Linked DNA regions of Saccharomyces cerevisiae S288C. Changing the gene in region 1 together with any one later gene gives a genetic interaction. Each region holds a gene or a part of one and is shown on either strand. Other genes may lie near its edges. The genes, in order: MRS2 and ALR1.

The links.
Region 2: of MRS2 (region 1) and ALR1, extra expression of one rescues a mutant of the other (dosage rescue), as found in Saccharomyces cerevisiae (one study listed by BioGRID).

What each region holds. Positions count from the first base shown.
Region 1 is NC_001147.6:942,916-946,829, forward strand, and holds MRS2 (Mrs2p), read left to right. Parts: upstream 1-1,680; coding exon 1,681-3,093; downstream 3,094-3,914. Other genes in the region: DNA-directed DNA polymerase gamma MIP1, read right to left, coding at 1-470; VMA4 (H(+)-transporting V1 sector ATPase subunit E), read left to right, coding at 741-1,442; ALA1 (alanine--tRNA ligase), read right to left, coding at 3,318-3,914. UniProt on the Saccharomyces cerevisiae protein: High-conductance magnesium-selective channel that mediates the influx of magnesium into the mitochondrial matrix.
Region 2 is NC_001147.6:72,236-77,616, forward strand, and holds ALR1 (Mg(2+) transporter ALR1), read left to right. Parts: upstream 1-2,164; coding exon 2,165-4,744; downstream 4,745-5,381. Other genes in the region: GAS4 (1,3-beta-glucanosyltransferase), read left to right, coding at 1-480; YOL131W (uncharacterized protein), read left to right, coding at 796-1,122; VPS68 (Vps68p), read left to right, coding at 5,325-5,381. UniProt on the Saccharomyces cerevisiae protein: Plasma membrane magnesium transporter.

The DNA.
Region 1 (3,914 bases):
GGTGCCATTCCAGGTACGTATTTAACCCAGCCTGGCTTCCGCAGCCATTCCGCCGGTCGTGCCACCATCTCCGTGAACTTGTCCTCGCAAAAACTCTTGTACGGTTCAGAATTGAAACGCCCAATCTTCTGGAAATGCTCATCTAGCGACCTGCCTTGTAGTGGCGGCAGAGGAAACGATATTGGATCCGTGATGAGCGTCTTCTTCCCCCACAACCCATGGTCCTTTAGCGACTTTTTCGATAACTCCATAAGTTTGTCGCTTTGCTCCACCTCATCTTTACCACCGCAACTACCAAATACCTGTCTTTGCAAAGACTCACCTAAATACTGTATCCCCACAGGATTAATCCTGGGTGCTTCTGCGGTATTCTTCTTTGTGGAGAACCATCGAGCACAAAACTGCACACGCAGCGGCCGCCGCCGCACCATTCGCAGCATGCATTCAGATCTAACCATCAATTTCGTCATACTTGTCCCTCGTTGCTCAACAACTACATATAATCCCCATCTCGACCTCTTCTTTAGAACCGTTCTTTCGTAGTCCATACCTATTGTTGTTTACTGAGTATCGGCTAAAAGTGCGCCCGAGGTCACCCGCCACGGAGAGGGGCGAAAGCGGCCATTTCGATAAGAACTCACGCTATATATCAGCAAAGAACAATAGCAGTTGCAAGAAAAGTTGTTTGTAACTGTTTTACAAAAGAGGCACAGAACAGGCCACGCACCATCCGATACAGCATGTCCTCCGCTATTACTGCTTTGACACCAAACCAAGTGAACGATGAATTGAACAAGATGCAAGCTTTCATCAGAAAGGAAGCTGAAGAAAAAGCGAAGGAAATCCAATTGAAGGCTGACCAAGAGTACGAAATCGAGAAGACCAACATCGTAAGAAATGAAACCAACAACATTGACGGCAACTTCAAGAGCAAGTTGAAGAAGGCCATGCTTTCGCAACAGATTACTAAGTCAACGATAGCAAACAAAATGAGGTTGAAGGTTCTTTCTGCTCGTGAACAGTCGCTAGACGGGATATTCGAGGAAACCAAGGAAAAGTTGTCAGGAATTGCCAACAACCGGGACGAGTACAAGCCCATTTTGCAATCATTGATCGTGGAGGCACTTTTGAAGTTGTTGGAACCTAAGGCGATTGTCAAGGCTCTTGAAAGAGACGTCGATTTAATCGAGTCGATGAAGGACGACATTATGCGTGAGTATGGGGAAAAGGCCCAGCGCGCACCATTGGAAGAGATTGTTATCTCCAATGATTACTTGAACAAAGACCTTGTTTCCGGCGGTGTTGTGGTCTCCAATGCATCAGACAAGATTGAAATTAACAACACTTTGGAGGAAAGATTGAAATTGTTAAGTGAAGAGGCATTGCCCGCCATCAGATTGGAATTGTATGGTCCTTCCAAGACAAGAAAGTTCTTTGATTGATCGACCAGCAGCTTGTATACCTACATACTTACATATACACTCCTAACAGATTTTTTTTTGTATGTTGTTCTTTCCTCTGTGGTGGTCCAGTCTTTTGTCTCTTTTTTTTTTTCTTCTTTTTTTTTTTTTTTTTTTTTTTTGCAGCATTATGATAGAACAATAGGGCTCAAGATCGCACCAAGGCTAACAGTAACGGTATACGCAATCGTAGTGAAAGTGATTTTCAATCAAGCATCTCATGAATCGGCGTCTCCTGGTACGTTCTATATCTTGTTTCCAACCTTTGTCGAGAATAACTTTTGGAAGACCAAACACGCCATTTCTTAGAAAGTATGCTGACACATCCACTGCTGCAAACACCAACAGCACCATATTGCGGAAACAGTTACTATCGTTGAAGCCCATTTCTGCCTCTGATTCACTGTTCATTTCGTGTACGGTATTCAATTCTAAGGGAAATATTATCTCAATGTCCGAGAAGTTTCCTAAATGGTCCTTTTTAACTGAACATTCCCTTTTCCCCAGAGACCTGAGGAAAATAGATAACTCCTCTATTGATATTATTCCAACCATCATGTGTAAGCCAAACTGTATTGTCATCAACTTATTGCATATCAAAGCTCTTATCGAACGAGATAAGGTCTACGTCTTCGATACAACAAACCCTTCCGCCGCTGCCAAACTGAGTGTACTTATGTATGACTTGGAGTCTAAGTTGTCCTCCACCAAGAATAACTCTCAATTTTACGAGCATAGAGCCCTCGAGAGTATTTTCATCAACGTAATGAGCGCACTGGAAACAGATTTCAAGCTTCACTCACAAATCTGTATTCAAATCTTAAATGATCTGGAAAACGAGGTCAATAGACTTAAACTGCGGCATCTTTTAATTAAGTCCAAAGATCTTACGCTTTTTTACCAAAAAACTTTATTGATTAGAGATCTATTAGATGAACTATTAGAAAACGACGATGATTTAGCAAACATGTACTTGACAGTTAAGAAGTCTCCTAAGGACAATTTTTCGGACTTGGAAATGCTTATAGAGACGTACTACACCCAATGTGATGAATACGTTCAGCAATCAGAATCTTTGATTCAGGATATCAAATCTACTGAAGAAATTGTCAACATCATATTGGACGCAAATAGAAATTCCTTAATGTTGTTGGAGTTGAAAGTTACCATCTACACGTTGGGATTCACAGTAGCATCTGTTCTGCCGGCATTCTATGGTATGAATTTAAAGAATTTCATCGAGGAGAGTGAATGGGGGTTTACTTCAGTGGCGGTATTTTCTATTGTTTCTGCCCTTTATATCACCAAGAAAAATTTTAATTCTTTAAGATCCGTGACAAAGATGACCATGTATCCAAACTCACCCGCAAACTCCAGTGTGTATCCTAAAACATCAGCGTCTATTGCCCTGACAAATAAACTAAAGCGAAGGCGGAAGTGGTGGAAATCAACCAAGCAGCGGTTGGGAGTGCTACTTTATGGCAGCAGCTACACTAATAAGGCTAACCTGTCGAATAATAAGATTAATAAAGGTTTTTCAAAGGTGAAGAAATTTAACATGGAGAATGATATTAAGAACAAGCAGAACAGAGATATGATTTGGAAATGGTTGATAGAAGACAAGAAAAATTGAAAGGCGATTATCATGATAAACTATACAATATTATTAGCATAAACCTGTATATATACATATGTAAGAAAAAAGGGTATTTAAAACTCTTTTTAACAGCAAATCTTTTGTCCTTGTAAAAACATAAATAATTAAACTAAGACTAATTATACAATGACACTTTTTTATTAAGAGCAAAATAAACAAAAAGAACTCCTATGCATTATTTTTCGTTTTATTTTAACTTCTTAAATGGAAAGCTTCTCCTTGAACAAACTTTCCAAATCATCAACTGCATCCTTTATAGCGGCTGGTTTATCACCCATACCTTGGAAAACATTACCTTTACCACCAGCCTTACCGCCGATGATACTGGACACCTTTTTGGCAAGCGCAGAACCATCAATACCCTTGGCTAAAGCAGCATTGGAGATGTAACAACCGTGAGCAACACGACCTTCAGGGTCATTACCTGCCAATAAATAGATTGACTTGTCTTTGACAGAATCATTGGATTTCATGTAGTTGATCGCTTCAGTGATAGCTTTAGCATTTGGAGAAATATCAATGAATTTAACTAGGTATGGAGCATTCTCATTGGTTTCGAAAAATGTCTTCACTTCATCAAGAGTTTGTTTGTTTTCTTTTTTGGCCCTTGACTTAACTTCATCCTTCACTGCTTTTTCAATTTTGTTAAATTTCTGCTTCAGTTCATTTTTTGTGATAACAGAAATTGAAAGTTGACCAAGTTTGACACCAAGTTCCTTCAACTTCTTTTCTTTGATTGGAGAGAACGGCAGCTTGTCTGCAGCATCCAAATCAGCAGCAAACTGTTCAGCCAATCT
Region 2 (5,381 bases), 870 kb from region 1:
CAAGAAGATGATTCAGTACAGCTCTTAGCAGATTTTGAGAAGCTTAAATCGCACTACCAAAACATTGAGTTTCCTTCTATGAAGACTTTAAAGGAAACTGTTCAGATGGAGGAGACGCCATCATGTGCGGAAGATTATGAAAATTTGAAGATTGAATCTAAAATTGCTAAAAATTTAGGAAGTTCTTTGATAAAAAAAGGCGTGAAAGTTGAAAAAGGCAAATACATAGATATTCACGAGGATCAGCTGTCCACCAATGTCACGATTTTAGACAAGCATGGTGACAGATGGAATGGGCCCAAAAAGATTGAAATTAGGCAAAGCCTGACATTGGCAGACCTGGAAGGAGAAGAACAAGAAGACGCAGATGAAGACAAAGATGATTTAAAACGAAAACACCGGAATTCTGCCTCTATTTCCGGCCCATTGTTACCTCTTGGGTTGTGTTTGCTTTTTTTTACTTTTAGTTTATTTTTTTAGACTTTAATGTCGTTCTCCCTTTTTAAAGAGTAAATACATATTTAAAAAAGTGACTATGGCTATTGCTAAACGTGATAAAAATCAGAGCCTATAACACTCTCTGAAATAACGCTATGCAGGAATTTCCAGTTAAGTTCTTCTTGGGGTGACTTCTTTACTCGGTATGATATGTGTTTTATATGCACAGTACGAGTCCATTAGGGTAAATTAGTGGCCGAGAAACTTTTGCCGCCGAGCTTTTAAGTATCCTTTTGCCACTTCTTATTTAGATAAAGACCTGGCAGTAGTAGTCGTAGAAGATAAGATAGACAGAGAATGAATACTAATAAGATAGCACAAGACGAAGTCCAAGATAAGGTTTTGCAAAGAGCAGAACTAGCACATTCTGTATGGAACTTAAGGTTCAACCTCAGTAAAGTTGCCAAACGGATTCGCATGGAAACAAAGGTATTTCCAGAGATAAAGATAAATGACGCGCAATCACAGTTAGAGCGATCTAGGTGTAGAATATTTAGCCCTGACCTGGAGGAAGAACATGTGCCCTTGATTCAAGGCTTTAAATGTTTGGATTCACCCCCTCCCGTTCCACCAAGCTCATCGCAGGGGGAGGATGAAGAGAACACGGTAGATTCGCAATACTAGGAAATTAGAACCGAATCAAAATAGTTCCGATCCTAACTTTTCTACTAATCTTTGAGATTTTATCTCATTAACTCTTTGACCAAGCTATGAAATGCGTAAGATGAACTTTTGTTTGAGAGTGTTAAGTATTTAGGCGTCTACGCTATGATAGCCTCACTCTAGGACGACTGCTTTTTTGGAACAACTTGTTGTTCTCCGATGGTATATTGTGTGTTTATGTATTGTTCTACGTACTCCTCCGTCTCTTTTTCGAGGGCAACGCTTTGAACTAGTATTTTCCGTTATAGTATGTCCCCCCTATATGCAACCCCTTGAATGGACGAATCTCTAAAATATACAACCTTTTCCTCTATAGGAAACAAGTAGGGTCTTCTACGCTAAGGATTACATAACGCATGTATCAAAAACTGATTTTAATTGATTAATTTCAAAATGTCAGCGTAGGTTCACCTAGACTTGTTTTATAGCTCCATTCAACTGGCGGTAGACACAACTAAAGCCAAAAATTGCCTAAAAATTTCAGTACTCTGGCAGCATCTACTCATTTAATTGCCGTAATACATGGGACTCAATGATCCTTAATATGCTAAATGCTACCCCTCCTTTTTTCTTTTTTATTCCTCATAAAATTGCAAATATCGCAAGCACGTTTTTACTCAGCCCGTCCGCTTTGAGATACAAAAACGATATCTGAAATTAAAATTTTCTCTGGAACATGGTCCATCGAACTAATTATGCATAATAACGTACGTTCCTATCCTATGAACACTTTTCTTTTTCTGGATAAACTGACTTAACAGTAGAAAACGTAGTGTGCAAGGCCATCCTTCAATATAGACTCAAAATTAGAAAGAGTGCCCTGATTAGTTGAGTTTTTCCTTCTATAAGCAAGAAAAATATCATCCTGACAAGAGACAGGTATTATATAAAATATTTCTACATGGAAGTATACTGTTAGTTGAACATAAATTCAACAAAAGGATACCATTACTTCTTCTCAAAGATCATCGAATATTGCTAGAAAGCGTAAAAGCATTTTACCATGTCATCATCCTCAAGTTCATCAGAGTCATCGCCTAATTTATCGCGGTCAAACTCACTGGCTAACACGATGGTTTCCATGAAAACAGAAGACCATACGGGATTGTACGACCATAGGCAGCACCCTGACTCACTGCCGGTCCGTCACCAACCTCCAACATTGAAGAACAAGGAAATTGCTAAGTCCACTAAACCTTCTATTCCTAAGGAGCAGAAGAGTGCAACGAGATACAACAGCCATGTGGATGTGGGAAGCGTACCCAGTAGGGGCCGCATGGATTTTGAAGATGAAGGGCAGGGTATGGATGAAACGGTTGCTCATCATCAATTGAGGGCATCTGCCATTTTAACTTCTAACGCGAGGCCTTCCAGACTAGCCCACTCCATGCCACATCAAAGGCAGCTTTATGTGGAAAGTAATATACACACACCACCAAAGGATGTAGGTGTAAAGAGAGACTATACTATGTCATCTTCTACTGCATCATCAGGTAACAAATCCAAGCTGAGCGCATCTTCCTCGGCAAGTCCTATTACGAAGGTTAGAAAATCTTCGCTGGTCAGTCCTGTTCTTGAGATCCCACACGAATCGAAATCTGATACACACTCCAAGCTGGCTAAACCCAAGAAGAGGACATATTCTACCACATCTGCGCATTCATCTATCAATCCCGCAGTTTTACTGACGAAAAGCACATCCCAAAAATCGGATGCAGATGATGATACATTGGAAAGAAAACCAGTACGTATGAATACTAGAGCTTCTTTTGATAGTGACGTATCACAGGCGTCGAGAGATTCTCAAGAGACGGAAGAAGATGTTTGTTTCCCTATGCCACCACAATTGCATACCAGAGTTAACGGTATAGATTTCGATGAACTGGAAGAGTACGCTCAGTTTGCAAACGCGGAGAAGAGTCAATTTTTGGCAAGTCTGCAAGTGCCCAACGAACAGAAGTACAGTAACGTTTCTCAGGATATCGGGTTTACCAGCTCTACTTCCACTTCGGGATCATCAGCTGCCCTAAAATATACACCAAGAGTTTCGCAGACTGGTGAAAAGAGCGAGAGTACCAATGAAACAGAAATCCATGAAAAGAAGGAAGACGAGCATGAGAAAATCAAGCCTAGTTTACACCCTGGTATATCTTTCGGTAAAAATAAAGTTGAAGGGGAAGAGAATGAAAACATTCCATCCAATGACCCGGCGTATTGCTCTTACCAGGGTACAGACTTTCAAATTCCTAATAGATTTTCTTTTTTCTGTTCCGAATCTGATGAAACCGTTCATGCTAGTGATATCCCTTCCTTAGTGTCTGAGGGACAAACATTCTATGAATTATTCAGGGGAGGTGAGCCAACATGGTGGTTAGATTGTAGTTGTCCAACTGATGATGAAATGCGTTGCATAGCAAAGGCGTTTGGTATCCATCCATTGACTGCAGAAGATATCAGAATGCAAGAAACACGTGAAAAGGTGGAACTTTTCAAATCGTATTACTTCGTTTGTTTCCATACCTTTGAAAATGATAAAGAATCAGAGGATTTCCTGGAACCTATTAACGTTTACATTGTTGTCTGTAGGTCAGGTGTTTTAACATTCCATTTTGGCCCAATATCTCATTGTGCTAATGTCAGAAGGCGTGTAAGACAGTTACGTGACTATGTCAATGTCAATTCAGATTGGTTATGTTATGCTTTAATCGATGACATTACTGATAGTTTCGCTCCTGTAATTCAATCTATTGAATATGAAGCAGATGCAATCGAAGATTCTGTGTTCATGGCTCGTGACATGGATTTTGCAGCAATGTTACAAAGAATTGGTGAAAGTAGGCGTAAGACAATGACGTTGATGAGACTTCTTAGTGGTAAGGCTGATGTTATCAAAATGTTTGCCAAAAGATGCCAAGATGAAGCTAATGGTATTGGACCGGCACTAACATCTCAAATAAATATTGCTAACTTACAGGCAAGGCAGGATAACGCCAGTCATATCAAAAATAATAGTTCGACAACTGTACCAAATAATTATGCGCCCACCACATCACAACCGAGGGGGGATATCGCCCTATACTTGGGTGATATTCAAGATCATTTGTTGACAATGTTTCAAAATTTGCTGGCGTACGAAAAAATTTTTTCTAGATCCCATACAAACTACTTAGCTCAACTGCAAGTGGAATCATTTAATTCTAATAATAAAGTGACAGAAATGTTGGGTAAAGTCACCATGATAGGTACAATGCTAGTTCCATTAAATGTTATCACTGGTCTTTTCGGTATGAATGTTAAAGTTCCGGGGGAGAATTCCAGTATCGCGTGGTGGTTTGGGATATTGGGTGTGCTGCTTTTGCTGGCCGTCCTTGGTTGGTTCTTGGCCAGCTATTGGATTAAAAGAATAGACCCTCCTGCAACACTTAACGAGGCCGCTGAAAGTGGAGCCAAATCGGTTATTTCGAGCTTCTTGCCAAAAAGAAACAAGAGATTCAATGATCGTTCCAAAAATATAAATGTAAGAGCCGGTCCTTCAAACAAATCAGTTGCAAGTCTTCCTAGTAGATATAGCCGCTACGACTGATTAGTGATGTGATAAAGATAGAAGATTTAAGTCACAGAGGCGTGCATCTACGATTTTGGCGTTTCACATTTTTTACACTTAAATTTTAGTGATCTAGCCGTGACCTTGGCAGCAGTTTCCAAAATCATTCCATGACCATGTCATGCTTAAGAACGTTAGACCCAGAACAAGTGGACCTGTATTCTAACTCTTCACTCTTGGGCAAAGATAATAGTATTATCTTTTACCCCATTTTTTGTATGTTTTTTCGTTTATTGAGTTTGGCGTTTCCTATTTAGAAATAGTACAATCCGGTCAATCATTCGATAGTGAAATATATATATTTAACTAGGAAAATTAGTAAAACCTCATTTAAAGATCATTCACCTTGATATATACTACTATTGACCTTTTGTTAATGACCATTTTCGTAAAAATGAACTGCGATTCTCTTCTGGAATTTGTTACCCTACCTTATTCACTAAATCAGAAATAATAATGTGCAGCGCCCCTTTCATAAAGAAGGCAAGTATAGGGCATATAGTTAAAGGTCAGAACTCTTTATCCCCAACTACAAGATCAATTAGAAAATCACATCATCATGGAGGCAGATGATCATGTTAGCTTATTTCGCTTCCCCTTCAAGATTCCCACCTTT